Linked DNA regions of Elephas maximus indicus. The protein of the gene in region 2 purifies or fractionates together with the protein of the main gene of each other region. This does not show direct contact. Links are inferred from orthologs where the notes say so. Each region holds a gene or a part of one and is shown on either strand. Other genes may lie near its edges.

Region 1 (7,990 bases), on a different chromosome or scaffold from region 2:
ACCGCAGCCAGCCAGGAAGCTTGGAGGTAGGGCAGTGGGGAGAGGATGTGGGGGTGGGAAAGAGTGTATCGCTGGTTATCGGGTTTTCTGTCTGCTGCTAGGAGCTCTGTGAAGCTGCACTGCCGTACTGCCTGTCCGGCAATCCCTGACAGGAGTCCAAGATGGCGGATCTGTGCTGTGTTAGCTGATAGGGAACCTTCCAGGTATCTCTCCTCAGTTTCTTATTCCATTCGGTGTTTGGCTGAGTTCTTTATGTCTTCATTTGACACTTCAGGTTCCAGCAATGATGTCTGTCTCTGTTTTACTTAGTTTTTTGGGTCTTTGTTGTGGGGAGGGGTGGCCTGGTGCTTCTACCTATGGTGCCATGTTGGCTGCAAGTCAAGAGTGATGCATAAGGCTAATTTAGATAAAATATTTATGTACTGTTTGCATCTACATATAACTCATTTGTAAAGTCTCAATAAATGGGCATTTCTTTACCCATAGGCTTTCTCTCCACATGTATGATCATAGGGAGCTACAGAAAATGTAGCAGTTACAAGACACGTGTAAAAAATTTTCAGATAAATTTCCTGATGCTCCATAAACATGGCACATCTGTTATTTATCTGGCATATTAATTTAGTGAAAACTGCACAAGATCATAGACTTAAAATGTAATGTGTTTATGATTAAATTAATTCTATAAATTACTATATGGTGTTAATAAATGTCAAAACATAAGCAACACTCCAGGGGATGAGAAGTTCCATGCATTATTCATTTTAAAAAGGTGGGATATAGTTTATTTTTTAAAAACTCCTTAATCATACTTCAATAACTAGTAGTTCTTCATTTTTCTTTTAATTTGATGCCTAACATTTGCAAATCACACAATATCTTCATTTTTTATTTATGGATGATACATTTTTCCCCCCTAGAAAATACAGGAATATTCACTACGTAATTCCTGACTGTATGTGGTTTCAAACAGGTCAGAGTAAGTTTCAGTTTATAAAATATTAACCATTGGGGAGTGATTTGTAGGTAAGTTTGTGGGTATGCTCTAATGAAAACAGATGCTTGACTTTTCAGAGGAAAATTGCTCATTTCGCAAGAGTTATTTCACATTTATACTTCTTCAGTTAAGAAATCACAAGCCTAACTGAAATCAAAAAGATATTTTGTGAAAAGGGGAAAGAGCTCCCACTGGTGTTTTGTGTATTGATCCTTTTCTAATTTCAAGCCCTTCTGAGAGCACCACAGTATAATAAAATGGAAAGAATTATGTTTCCCATTATCATCCTGAAATATTCAAAATGAAAGCTGTGGAAGGATCTAACATCATTACTTTATAGTGTTACTATATAGTGTTAAGGAGCCCCTGGTTGCGCAGTGGTTAAGCGCTTGGCTGCAGAATTACTGCTCTGTGGAAGAAAGATGTGGCAGTGTGCAAATGTGGAAGGAACTCACCAGCCTCGGATGATGATGTGGCAGTCTGTAGATGTGGCAGTCGGCTTCCGTAGGATTTACAGCATTGGAAGCCCTATGACACAGTTCTACTCTGTCCTACAGGGCAGCTACGAGTTGGAACTGACTCCACGGCAGTTAGTCTTTATGTAGTGTTAATAAACATTTTCAAAACATAAGCACATTTCAAGGGATGAAAAGCTCCATGCATTATTCATTTTAAAAGGTGGCGCATGGTATATTTTTGAAAAACTATTTAATAATGATACCTCATAATGATGAGGAAACAGGTCCAGAAGAGCTGAAGTGACTTGTATAAGGACACACAATTCAGTAGCAGAGCCAGGACTAGAACCCAATTTGGTGCACATTTATAATATACCTCTTTTCTTGACTAGTCTTCATTGGTGGTGCGGACTTGCCTTTTATTTAGTCATTTTATCCTGAGGACAGGGAGACCTCCTGGCTTGCTAGAAGCTTAAACATTTATTTCCTAGGAGTTGCTCACACACGTTCACTTGTTTGGATTCAGTTTGTTAAAGTGAATCACGATGCCTCCAATGGAGTTCTTAGAGGCACATGGAGAATATGTGAACATGCTTTTTCTTATCGTCTTCTCCAGAGATGTACAACATTATGGCTCCAACGTGTGCAACTTTTTCTTGGTCCATTTATCTTTTTTTATATTTCATTTTAAGTCCGTGCTGCAGAAATCAGCTAGGGATCCCAATTCCCCGTACCCCTATTTCTTAAGACAACAGCACTTACCTATCTTCTTCATTTACACTCAAAACATCGTATTTCGTTCTCTCCCGCCTTTCCTGTCTTTTCTAATAGTTTTTCCTAGTAACTTCTACCACACTACCTTTCACTCCTGACTCCCTCTTACCCCGCCTACAGGCACCTGCCTTTTTTCCGCCTCCTGTTTGCTTTTGTCTCCCGTGGCTTCCGGGATCGCCGCCCGGAAGAACCACGGAAACACACTGCGCACGCGCACCAGTTCGTCACAGCTCCTGCTCTCTGATATGCGGCCCAGTTTCTGTCAATTTCTGACCCACGGCAAATACGGCGCCAGCAACTCTCGCGATATTTGCTGCCGTCAGTGGGCGCGAGCCGCGGCCAGTTGGTGGCGGGCATTTTTGGCTTCTGCTGTTGCTGGAGCTGCCGTGTAGCCCGGAGTTCCTGGGCCAGACATCATGACGTCCGCTTTGGAGAACTACATTAACCGTATCCTCCGGAGGCCGCCGCGGCGAGGCACGTGTCCGCACCGGAGTGGTGTCGGGGCTTGAGAGGCCGGGGTTCGGGATTCCTGGTGGGTTGGGACGCCTGGCTACTACGGGGCCCCGGGTGCCGGTGAGGGGGATAAGGACCCGCGACCAGCCAGTCTTGCGCTGGGGCTCGAGCCCGCCGCTCCTGCCTCGAGTCCGAGGTGTGTTTTAATTCCGGCCTAAAGTAAAGTAAATCCAGTGTAATTATCCTGAACTTTTCTCTGCCTCTATAGAATTCCGCTATTGATTCAGCCTTATTATTCCCCCAGGGCCCACACGTTCAAGTTTCAAATAAGGTGAGCGGTTGTCATAGTGGCGACGAGGGTCTTGTAAATCTGTGCACTTGTTTTATTGACAGGCATGCTCATTGTTGAGATAGCAGAAGTTTAAAGATGGTCCATAAATTGAATTTCTGCTGCTTTACCACTTGAAGGCTCATCTTCCTTGTTGCTAGGATGGAAACAATGCTTGCTTTTTCAATGAATTGTCCTCATGGTCCGAAACTCGTAAAGAACCAGATACAAATGTTACTGTTTTAATGTCTCAGGACAGAAACAGCACATCGTGTATTCATGCACAAATTGTGAACAGAAGTTAAATACTGAAGGCTTTTAATGATGCAAGCCTATTGGTGTCTTATGACATTGGTTATAGTATCCTTTGTATTCCAGAAACCTGGAAGACAGTGTCTTAACATGCTTGAAATTGACTGATTTAGCAGCCATACAATTTTTATTCTACAAATGAAGAAATAGGGCTAAGAAAGTGGGGAATGTCTTGTTCAAAATTGAAATTTCCCAGTAAAAGCGAATACCAAATACCCCAGCTGTTTTGAGATGCTTATCACATAGAAAAAGGAATTTTCTTTTTCTGTTACTTTTGTGTGTGTGTGTGTGTAGTTATCTCGAAGACAGGATTGAAAAAAAGCTACAGATTTTAAGTCCTTAATGTTGTGTATTTAATGGCCATGTTGAATAGTTATTTTTAATTCTGTCGCCCTTTTCTTAGTAATTGGAACTGTGCGTTTACCAGATTCTAAGTTTTCGGTTAGCATTTCCTAAGAAATGCTTTCCTTGATTCAGTTATCAGGAACTGTTGCTGTTATTACATCCGATGGGAGAATGATTGTGGTAAGTATGCAGCATTTTCATTCTCTGCCTTGTAAACTATTGGTAGTAAAATAATTTTTATGTGGAACCTCTGACATCTAATGTGTAGGAACCAGAGTATACCTGCATTGCACTTTTCTTATGATCTAACTCTTTGCCCTGATGTCTTTGATAAATAGCTGCTCATCTGTATTTTTTTTCCGTTAATAAACATCGAGTGCGCATTACCTACTAGCTTCTACTAGGACCTAGGATGAATCGATTCTTCCCATCAGGGAGCTTCTAGTCTAGTATGCAGATGTCTATATGTATCTTATGGTCACATATTTGTCTTGTTCTTCGATATTTTATTTCCTTCCCGTTCAGAGCTTGGACAGCTGCCATGTGAATCAAAAGTTTTTTGAAATTTTGTGTATACTTAGAAGTTGTTCTTTTTATGACTTAGATACTACATATATACAGCATAATGAACATTTAAGGCTTGTTTGTGTAGCCTATAACTATTCCTAGGTTATATAACCTATTTTCTGTAGGACGATATATGACTGACTATTTCATCTTATTTATGCTTTTGTCACAATATTGTTGTTAGGTGCTGTGGAGTTGATTTTTGACTCATAGTGACCCCATGTGACAGAGCAGAAGTGCCCATAGGGTTTAATCTTCATGGAATCTTTATGAAAGCAGGCCACCAGGTCTTTTCTCCTACAGAGCGGCTGGGTGGGTTAGGACAGCCAACCTTTCAGTTAGCAGCCAAGCACTTAACTGTTGTGGCACCAGGGTTCCTTTTTGTCACAATAACCTCTTTTCATTCTAGAAAAATCTTGGATTCTCTCCTTGATCTGATTCTGGAAAACATTCCTCAGTTGCTAATTTAACTCGTATAACAAAGCTATAACTTTCTTATGGCTGATGTTGATTTTTGGAATTTGATTTGAGGAATTTATCCCATGATACTTGGCTACTTAATTATTTTATCTTCATTTATAATTGATACTGTGTTTGCTTTCAAAAAGGTTGTAAGTCTGCTAACCTTTCTCCAAGGAGCCCTGGTGGCACAGTGGTTAAGTGCTTGCCTGCTAACTGAAAGGTTGGTGGTTCAAACCCACCAGCCACTCCATGGGAGAAGGATGTGGCAGTCTGCTACCGTAAAGATTACAGCCTTGGAAATCTTATGGGGCAGTTCTACTCTGCCCTATAGGGTCTGTATGAGTCGGAATCTACTAGACTGCAACAGGTTTGGGTTTGGTGTAACCTTTTCTCTATTTTCTAACCTTTTCTAATTTACTTCATATAATTTAACCCCTTATTTTCTTGTTCTGCGGTCTCATTTTTGTTTCTGTGTTTAATCCATATGATTTTTTCTCAGTGGGTCATTAAGTGACTATCACTAGTCAAAGTGCTAGACTTCACCACTTATTAAATGTGTATTATGTTCCAGGCACTTTACATAGGTTATGTTATTTAATCTTCAGTACAACCCTGTGAAGAATTATTGCTGCTTTATGCTAGGTTAGGAACCAAGCTAAGAAAAGGTAAGTTAGTTTCCCAGAGTCACATAGATAATAAGTGGTAGAACCAAACTGGGATTTAAGTTTAGTCTGACTCCAAAGTCAAGGACAGTTGGCATATTTTCTTTACCAAGGGAACAATCCTGGTTTTCTTAGGCATGCTGTATTGTATATTTTGTCAAATAAAGGCCATTTGAAGTATTTTAATCTCATCATTGCCCTTCAGGAAACCTATTGCAATTAACAAATATTTGCAATTAATTTTTTATTTTATGAAAACCTCAAGTTTAAGTGTTTCTAATTTTGTTAACAGAGTAGACAATAAATTGGAAAATTATTTTCATTTTATAAAAGGAAAGCTATAAAGAGCATCTTGAGTACTAAATTTCAGTAGTCCTGTATTTAACACATGGTTTTACTTGATGGAATAATTAAATGTAAAACCAAACCAAGAAGTTATGTATGGGTATTTGTGATATTTTTGATAACACCTATTTGCCAACTAAACCAGAAAATGCAAACCCGTTGCCATCGAGTGGATTCTGACTCAGCGACAGTATAGAACTACCCCTTAGGATTTGTAAGGAGCTGCTGGTGGATTTAAGGGTGAACTGCCGACCTTTTGGTTAGCAGCCGAGCTGTTAAGAACTGCTGTGCCACCAGGGCTCCATTCTCTAGTATAGTTCAATACTCCATATTTTGTTTCTCTTCCATATTCTAGGTTATCATTTTCTCTTTATTTCATTTTGATTTTATGTATTTTGATTTTCAGAACATGAAACAGTTGAATAGTGAAACTTGAATAGCATGTGAATTACTCTGTTGTCCAAGGCCCTTGTCTTCCCCTGTTCACAATCAGCCTTTTTCCATAAAACTTTTCCCTGTTATTTCCATCAAGTTCTGGTGCTTATCATTATAGTCATATTAGAATTTACCTTACTTGGTTATTGGGAGAATTATAAGGTAAATACATGTGAGGCACATAGAACACTCTGGGATATAGTAAGTATTCATTTACCATCAGTTGTAGTTTGTGTATATTTATGGGAGTGATTTGAATCTCTAAAAAACGGGAAATTATATTTGCATGTTTATAGCAGTATAATGGTTCAGCAATCTTCCTAGTAGCTTTGCTACGTACTCCCCATAAGACCTTGAGAGATTACTTAACCTCTCTGTGCCTCAGTTTTCTTTCTCTGAAATGGGGATAATTATATCTACCTCAAAGGGTAGAGATTAGCTGAGATAGTGAACACAATGTGTTTAGCCCAGGGCCTAGTACAGAGCATACAGTGATGTTGTTACTCTGCTGTAGCTGGTATATGTGAGACCCTCATTTATAAATCCTTTGCCCTTAAATTTTACTTGTTGTAGTGTGTGTCCTTAGAAAGTTAGCTCCTGGACTACATGGGCATTTACTCTACTTCTTTGAGATGATCACACTGGTACGTAGTATCCTTAGTAACTCTCAGTAGCTCTGCTTATCAGTCATATGTGTGGTGGTGTTTTTTTCCCCCTCTCTTAACAACCAAGAGGTGTGTTTTATGCCCTGTTGGCTATAAAAAAGATATGTTATTTTACAGTGGGTATATATTTAAAATGGATACTTCTGTTGGGTTGCCTGACAACTAAAATGGTTGTATGGTTGAATTTTGTACATTTAAATAAATCAGATTTTTTTTTTTTTCTTTTGGCTGTTTTCTTCATAGGGAACTCTGAAAGGTTTTGACCAAACCATTAATTTGATTTTGGATGAAAGTCATGAACGAGTATTCAGCTCTTCACAGGGAGTAGAACAAGTGGTATTAGGATTATACATCGTAAGAGGTGACAATGTGTAAGTAAAGTATACCCTTTTAAGGCAGGTTAAAATTATTAAGTGTACTGCCTTGCTATATGCAGAGATTTTTTGGAAATAAAGTCTTTCAAGCATAGTTTATAGACTCATATTCATTTGTATTGTAAATATGATTTTTCTTATATTTGCTTAAAATAAGGCAAATCTATACATTTCGTGTTACTATTCTTCAAGAACCAACCAAAGTCTTCTCTTTATTGACTGAGATTTGTCTGTATTTCTAATTGTTAAGAGGCCTGAATACAGTCCAGAATGGTCCTGCCTTATACCAAATGCTCCTTCAAAGAGAGTTCTTAAAATGTTCTTCTAAAGTATCCCTAATTTCAGAGGAACATAAATATACTTTTGGAATCCAAGGATAGAATTTGACAAAATGTCTTTGCAATCTTGTTTGAACAAACTTAAATAGTTCATGCTCTTTAACATAAGTACATATCCATTATTTGTCTTTAAAAAATTTTTTTTGTTGTTTTGTGCCATGTTTATCCTGTGGCCTCAAATAACTTTTGGCACACTGATACTTAAGCCAGTTTGAGAAGATATATTTTAGTGGTAGCAAAATACATGCAGCAAACAAAATATGCAACTGTATAGGGCAGTGTTGTCTAGTACAACTTTCTATGATGGTGGAAATGTTCTATATCTGCACTGCTCAGTACATAGCTACTACCATGTGTCACTGTTAAGTACTTGAAAAGTGGCTGGTTTGACTAAGGAACTGAATTTTAAATTTTATTTGTAACTAATTTTAGTAGTCATAAATGGCTAGTAGCTACTGTATTAGGCAGTGCTGGA
Region 2 (7,990 bases):
ATCAAGACCACTCTCTTTTTGGTACCGGTCCCCTCAACTTGACTGTCAGCTCCTCCAAGTCAGTGACCGAATCTTACCAGCCCATGTTCTCTGAGCCTGGCATAGGGCCTGCAACCGGAAGCTGGCAGGCAATCAGCAAACACCAAGAGTCACCTGGGGAGAAAGGCCTACATTCGTGTCAGTGAGAACCATTTGTTATCCAAAACCTTTTTGTATCTCCTCTCCAACTACCTTCAGACACTGTTTGAGATCCTGGAGAAAAATCAGCTAAATTATGTCTTAGTCCCAGGAGGTTTTTAGTCACAAACCAAGTCACGAGACTTGGGCTCACACAGCATTTCTATTATTTCCAAATAAAGTCAATTTTCAAAAGATAATGATCTAAAAAAAAAAAAGGTTACTATAAACAAATTCTTAAAATAATTACGAAAGCATTCCCAGAAGGTTCAAGATGACTCTTGTCGAAAGAAGAATGCTATGGAATGTGGCCATCTATGTACGATTTTTTAAAAAATAAAGTCTCATTACTGTATTTCATGGCCCTGAAATAACACTGGTTCAGCAGCGCGCCCTAGTGGCTGAAAGGCTGCTAGCCCAAGTTCAGTCACCATGGGCTGTCAACAAAACCTCTCCCTGGGTCTAGGAGAGTGCCCTAGCCCTTGACAAACGTGGTGAAGCCAGAACAGTATAAATACCCATTCAGTCCGACACAGTAGGCTTTAGTAATCTTGAGGCTTGTTTCCCAGCTAGCACAGCAGTAACTATCCTGATCTTCCAGTCTCCTCCCCTTTGCCTATACAACCACTGATTTTGACTCTAAGCCCAAGGACCCACAAGATAAAATCCACTCTGGACTTCTGCCCCATGTTGATTTCCAGCGATCTTTAGTTGTTTCCCGAGCAGAAGAGTCTCATCTTTAGGGGACGTTAAGCTTCCAGAAGGCAAGGGCTGCAATCTACGCACGCACACCACCCCCCAACAGAAAAAAACAAAGACAAGGACATTGTGACTGATTGTTGGTCATGTGCCTGACTCCACTACGAGGCTATGGGCTCCACAAGCAGATAGATCTTGGTCATCGCTGTGAGGTCCGCCATAGCGCTTGAGATCATTTTATTAAAATACTAATAGCAGCAGCATCATCGATGGTCTCCGTGTGTTGGGCCTATGTGCCAGGTACCATGCAGAGAACTCTACACGCATTCTCTCTTGTAGGAAGGGACTGCTAAGATTCCCAACTTACAAATGAAAAGAATGAGGTCCAGCGAGGGGCAGTGACTTGCCCAAGGTCACTTAGCCAGGGCAGTGGCCTGGCTGAAGAGGAGCTCGTGCCCTAGCGTCAGGCTGACAAGTCATAACAGGTCCAAGAACTCAGAAGAGTCCTGTTAGGGAAGTTTAAGGGCTGTGACGCACAAAATAGCAACGAGCAGTAAGGCCCTTTGGAAGTCGCCACTCGACAAGCAGCGGCTATTACTTTTATTTCCATTGCGAAACGAGAGAAAGTTAGTTGAGGCAAAGGTGTGGGAGGAGACAGTCCCTCCACCCAGGGCCGGGGGATCCCCGGACCTCGGGCTGCAGGAAGCTCCAGGCCGCGCAGTCCCCCGGTCGCCGGCCCCAACCCGATCCTCCCCCACGCCTCCGGACACCTTCGTCTCCTCGGCGATCCTCGCCCGTTCGTCCCCCGCGCACCCTATGCTTGCCCCTACCTTCTTGTGATAAAGCCGGGCCGGGGCCGACAGCTCCCGGGGTGGCAGGCGAGGACTCCGGAGCAGCAGGGCCGACGCCGCCCGGCGCAGCCGACCCGCTCCAGCCGCCGCCATCTTGCGGGGTCGCGCCTGCGCCAGCCAAGAGCGAGGCCGGGGGCGTGGCTCGCCCTGCAGCGAGCGACGGGCTTCGCTTAGGGCGCGCCCCCTCTTACGTCACCGCGCCTTCGCGCCTGCGCCCTTCGGCCCCGTGCGGTTCGTGCTTTGTCCCCACCTTGACCACACCTCTCCGGGGGCTGGCGGGGCTGGGAGCGGGAAGGTCCAAGTACCACGAAAGCGAGTCCTAGGTGCTGCGTTCTGGATGGGAAAGGACCTAAAGCTGGGGTGAGGGACCCGACTTAATGCAGCACACAAGGTCACCCAGTCCGCTCTCTCATCCTTTTTTGCAGCTAAGGACGCTGAGGTTCGAGCGGTTTAATAACTTGTCTGAGGTCGCTTAGAGTTAGGTACAATTGGGATTCGAACAACCCTGGGTTAGAGTCCTGATTTTGCCCCTTCCTGGTTGTCACCCTGGAAACCCTGGTGGCGTAGTGGTTAAGTGCTACGGATGCTAATCAAAGGGCCGGCAGTTCGAATCCACCAGGCGCTCTTCGGTTCTGCTCTGTCTTATAGGGTCCCTATGAGTCAGAATCGACTCGACGGCACTGGGTCTGGTTTTTTTGGTTTTTGGTTGTCACCCTAGACGAATGACATCAGCTCTCTAAGCGTCTCTTTTTTTTTTTTTTTTTTGCATTAATTCAAATAAAATTGTTTCGCCCATTCAGCAAATATGTATTGAGCACCTCCTACTTGTCAAGGCGTTATACTAGTCTCTGGCGAGCCAACGAAAAGCAAAACAAATGTAATTTCTGTCCCAACTAAGCTTACTAACGAGGGAGAAAGGCAATAAAGAAACAATAGTTTCCTAGCTCAAAAATGGGAGTTTAAGGAGGAAATGAACACCATGCCCTGAATTAAAAAAGTATATACCTATTTAAAAATATTCTTTATCTATTTCTCTCTATACAACAGTAAACTATCAAAATTTATATGGTAATACTTGACAGTTAAGAGTTTCTAAATAAATGCTTAGGAAATAATTCATATTGATTTGCAGAATATCTTATAAAACCGGAAAACTCATGTGTGCGTTTAACACCTACTAGGCACCGGTCCTATCAGGTGCCAGCCGGAAACCCTGGTGGTGTAGTGGCTAAGTGCTATCTATGGCTGCTAACCATAAGGTCTGCAGTTCGAATCCACCAGGTGTTCTTCGGGAACTTTATGGGGCAGTTCTATTCTGTCCTCTAGGGTCGCTGTGAGTCAGAATCCACTCGGTAAAGGGCTTGGTTTTGGATTAGGCACCAGTCCTTACATAATGAGAGGAATCTCTTTGGGAAATGAATTTTTCTCATAAATAGCGCAATCGATCCTTCTCCAAGGACTTGGAGTTTTCACTACGTTTGTGTCTCGGTTGCTGAGGTGACTGAACCACGCGCCAGGTCACAAGAGGCATTAATGCATATATTCGAGGAGTCCCTTTGACCTTCTCAAAATGGCGTCAAAACCTTAACTACAGTCATCACGCTCATTTCATGACTTCCTCTATGCCCTCCACTTCCTGCCCAAAGACCCAACTTCTGTCCGAAGTTGTGGCGGAATATATGCCATGTTAAAGAATTGTTTTTCTGACAGGATCTTTTACAAATATGTAAAGTTAATATGAATGGCGTGTATTTAGAGATTTTCCCATCATCCGAAGCTCGCAGTTTCCCATTCGGTGGCCAGAGGGCGGGGTTTTGATCAGGCGTGCGCCGCGGGCAGCTTGTACTTCAGCCAGTCTTCGGCGGCGGAACGAAGGACCCAAGTCACTGGAGACTCAAGATGGCGACGGCAGCTGCATCCTCCGCTTCAGAGCCGGAGGCTGAGCCCAAGACTGCGCCCAAAGTTGGGCCCAAGGCCGAGGGAGACGAGGATGAGCTTAAGGAAACCAGGACGAGGAGGAAGGTGTTATCGCGGGCTGTGGCTGCTGCGTCGTACAAGACGGTGGGGCCAGCGTGGGATCCGCAGGAGGAAGGCGTGAGTGAGAGCGATGGAGATGAAGAGTACGCCATGGCTTCTTCAGCGGAGAGCTCCCCGGGGGAGTACGAGTGGGAGTACGACGAAGAGGAGGAGAAAAACCAGCTGGAGATCGAGCGGCTGGAGGAGCAGGTGGGCGCCGGGGTGGGCAGCGGGCTCCCTCCGCCTCCAGGCCCTAGCCCGCTCCTCTGCCCCTTGGAGCAGAGATGCTGCCCTGATCCTCAGCGGCAGTAAAGCCTCCAAGGCCGCAGAACCGTTACTTAACATTGCAATTTCCATTATTTGAGCGCTCGCTGCGTGCCCAGCGCTTTGCAAGCATTATTCCATTGAATACTCGCAGCGAACCAGTGAAGGCAGTAGCGTTGTCCCCGTTTCGTGGGAGGACACTGAGGCTCGTGGAGGGGAGTCTCTGGCTCAAGATTACACGTTCTGCAAGTAGCGAGTCAGGCTTTGAGCTTCGAACCGACTCCAGGACTCCCACTAACCACACAGTTAAACTACATCTAGCAGTAAAGTAAATTTTAATTGTAAGAGCACTATTTGTCTGTAGGAATGACGACGATGATGAAATATGTTGTAGTCGAATAAATATTGATCCGACGATGAAAATAGGAATGGAAAGATAGAGGCTACTCAGTTGGAGGCTCAAACCCCCGTTGTAGCTGTTCCACACCTGTATGTGCTTGGGCGAATTTCCTAAATTCTCTGATCCTTTGCTTTCTCATTTGTAAATTAAGAGCAGTGTTCTTGCATCATAAAATGGTCATAACAGTAATGTTAGCCCTGTGCCTAGCACCCACGAGGAACATGACCTCTAATGTGTAAAACAACCTTGTGAGATGTAGGTGGTGGTATCTTTTGGATAAGCCAGGATCCCAGCAGGAAATAGATGGTGCATTCAAATTAGGATAATTTAAGAAAAGGTTCATAAAGGGACTACTGTGTTTGTAAAGGCAAGTAAGAAGCAAAGGTTTAGTATTCCACAGTTGGTAACAACAGGACTTGGTGTCCACCTTTAGGCCTGAAGTAGTGTGAATAGTTGTGTGGGGTTGGCATCTGAGAGGAGCTGAGACCTTTGGTCAAAGGGTGCAGCCAGCGGTTTCCCAGTAGGGGAAGGAAGCAAGTGGAAGAAGAAAAACTCTTTTTATCTCCCTCACTTCCTCCAGATCTCTGCTAGTCTCCCACTGAGCAAACCCAACTGAAGGCCAGAGAGCCCAGTTGATGTGGATCACACAGGAAGGCACAGGGCAGGGAGGGGAGAGGAGGGTGGTGTGGAGTTGGAGGGGCAAACTGAAGAGATTGAGCACATTCTCATTTTACAGATGAGGAAAGGAAAGAGGCTCAGAACAAAAGATGAAATGATTTGCCTAGAGTCACTCACAGTGGGATTTGAACTCTTAAAGGTTGCCTGTGGACCAGATGCCACGTTGCATGTCCTGCTGGCACTGTTTTTAAGTTATGAGATAACGTCATGCGTTGGTATAACTTGTTGCATTTGTCATAGAATCTGATTTTTGAAGGAACCAGTTGGGATAGACAGGTGGTTACCATTTTTCTTTTATAAGTAAGTATGCTGAAGTTCATTCAGTCTTTTATTCATTCAGCAAGTACGGTGTGATACCTGCCAGACTGACTGTGTCCCTGTCTGTATGGAAATCAGTTCTTCATATTTCTAGCCTTAGGTCTTTTGATGAGCCATTAGCTCACTTTGACCTTAATGTTTTATGAGGTAGGGAAACTAGAATCATCTGTTTTAGTAGGAAGAGGAGGCTTGGAACCAGAGAGATGAAGTCCTTAATGAAAGTACATAGTTTACTTACTAAGGAGAAGGAGGCGACAGGATGGAGGTCGGCATGAAGGTCTCCTGGCTACTATACAATTGCCTGTCCTGCCTCGGGTCACCGAGGATGGGTGGGATAGAGCTCAGAAGGTGACCACATAGGATGGGACCTGGCAAGCGATGGTGAGCTGAAGGACTTCTGGCCTTATCCTCTTTGTCCTGAGGTCTAGAAATTGACTTTTCCAATTTTTCCAGACCTCCTTCCTAACCTCCTCCTAACCCCGCAGTCTGTAGTTCCTGCTGTAACTGTCCTTATGATGGAGCGTAACGATAAGTAACTTTCCAACAGGCCTGTGGAAACCTGGCCCTGCCATTTTTGGAAGCTCGGAACACATCCACATGTGTTTATTTCCTTCTTTTTGCTTGTTTAGGATTGTTTTGTTCTTTTCTAGTTTCTCGATGCAGGAACCTAGATTATTGATTGAGACCTCCCCTCTTTCCTAGAATGAGCATTTAAGTCTATAAATTTCCGTCTCAGCGCTGCTTTAGTTGCATCCCACTTGTCTTGCTGTGTTCTGTTTTCATGTCCATTCAGTTCTAAATATTTTTTAAAAAACATTTCTTTGAGACTTCGTGTTTGATCCATATTGTTTAGAAGTGTATTCTTAATTCCAAATGTTTAGAGGTTTTTCTGTTGGCTTTGCAATTGATACCTAGTTTGATTCTCTTGTGGTCAGAAAGCATACTCTGTATGATTTCAGTTTTTTTAGATTTGTTGAGGTTTCTGTTTCGGCCCAAGAGAGGGTAAATGTTCCGTGGAGACTTGAGAAGGTATGTTGTGCTACCGTTGGCTGAGGTGTTGTGTGTGTGTCAGTTAGGTCCTGTCGGTCGATGATATTGTTGAGCTCTCCTGTGTCCTCGATGGTTTCCTTTATAGTAGTTGTGTCAGTTGCCAGGAGTCCCTGGGTGGTGTAAACAGTCAATGTGCTTGGCCGCTAACTAAAACGTGGGAGGTTGGAGTCCACCCAGAGGGGCCTTGGGGGAAAGCCCTGGCGAGCTACTTCCAAAAAATCAGTCATTGAAAATCCCGTGGAGCAGAGTTCTACCCTGACACACGTGGGGTTGCCATGGATTGCAGTCAGCTCGGTGGCAGTTGGTGCTGGAATCGCTTGCTGAGAGGAGGGTGTCGAAGTCTTCAGATATGATTGTGAGTGTGTTTATTTCTCCTCTCAGCTCTGTCGGTTTTTGCTTCATGTATTTTGAAGCTCTGTGGCTCTGTTGTGTACGGTCGCCATTGGTTTTTTTTTGGTTGGCGCATACATGTTTAGGATCGATGGGTCTTTTTGGTGAGTTGATCCTTTTATTATTATGTAAGGTTTCTTTTTGTCTCTAGTAATTTTCTTTGCTCTGAAGTCCACTCTATGTAATATTAATATAGCCGTTTCTGCTTTTTTTGGATTAGTATTTGCTTGGTGTATCTTTTTCTATGCTTTTTTTCAACCTACCTATATCGTTGGATTCGAAGTGAGTTTCTTCTGATTAGCGTGTAGTTGGGTCATGTTTTTTATCCACTTTACCGTTCTCTGCCTTTTAATTAGTGTGTTTAGACCATCTACATTTCAGGTAATATCCAAATGTCAGGCCTTAAACCATTTTATTTGTTTTCTATTTATTTCCCCTGTTTCTCATTCTTTTTTTCTTTTCTTGCCTTCCTGTGCATTATGTCAACATTTTTTAGGCTTCCATCTTGATTCATTTATAGTACCTCTGAAGTTTTTACTTTGTATAGTTTTTTGGGTGTTACAGTATATATATTTCACTTACCACAATCTGCTGGCGTCAACCACTTCGAGTGAGGTACAGAAACCCAACTTGGCTTTGGATCCCTTTACCTTCCCCATTTTTAAATATCATTGTCTGCGTATCAGATGATCTTATAATTTTTGCTTTAGTTATTCCTTATGGTCATCTTTTGTGCTTACTCATATTTCATCTCTTTCCATTGATCCTCCTCCTTTCCTAGTGCTTGACGGTTTCTTATTTTATCATTTCTTTTAGCTGTTCTTTAAGAAGTCTGCTAGTTTTCTGTTTCAGGTATGTAATTGCTTTTTGTGTGTGGAGTAAATAAATATACATGTAACAAAACATTTGACTTTGCAACAGTCTTCACGTGTGCAGTTCAGTGCCGTTATGTTCCTTATTTTGTTCAACCATCGCCCTTAATGTGTCCCCAGGTTACACCATCGCCCTTAACAGAGCTCGGTGTTCCCTAAGCATTTCGTCCCTTTTTCCGCCTTCCTTCCTCCCACCCTTGGTAGCTACTGATAAACTTTGGTTTCTAGACACTTGGTTATTCTTGATATTTCATATAAGTGGCATCATAACTGTA

What was found. The genes of interacting proteins can lie anywhere in the genome.
Region 1: the proteins of SART3 (region 2) and LSM8 purify together in Homo sapiens (affinity purification with mass spectrometry; 4 studies listed by BioGRID and IntAct, counting the BioPlex papers as one, with this or other methods). This does not show direct contact. The link is inferred for Elephas maximus indicus from reciprocal best matches to the Homo sapiens genes SART3 and LSM8.

The regions. Positions count from the first base shown.
Region 1 is NC_064826.1:31,451,293-31,459,282, reverse strand, and holds the start of LSM8 (LSM8 homolog, U6 small nuclear RNA associated), read left to right. Parts: upstream 1-2,534; 5' UTR 2,535-2,645; coding exon 2,646-2,676; intron 2,677-3,806; coding exon 3,807-3,847; intron 3,848-7,046; coding exon 7,047-7,174; intron 7,175-7,990. UniProt on the Homo sapiens protein: Plays a role in pre-mRNA splicing as component of the U4/U6-U5 tri-snRNP complex that is involved in spliceosome assembly, and as component of the precatalytic spliceosome (spliceosome B complex).
Region 2 is NC_064840.1:19,108,542-19,116,531, reverse strand, and holds the start of SART3 (squamous cell carcinoma antigen recognized by T-cells 3), read left to right. Parts: upstream 1-3,615; 5' UTR 3,616-3,626; coding exon 3,627-3,953; intron 3,954-7,990. Other genes in the region: iron-sulfur cluster assembly enzyme ISCU, read right to left, coding at 1,707-1,820. UniProt on the Homo sapiens protein: U6 snRNP-binding protein that functions as a recycling factor of the splicing machinery. Promotes the initial reassembly of U4 and U6 snRNPs following their ejection from the spliceosome during its maturation.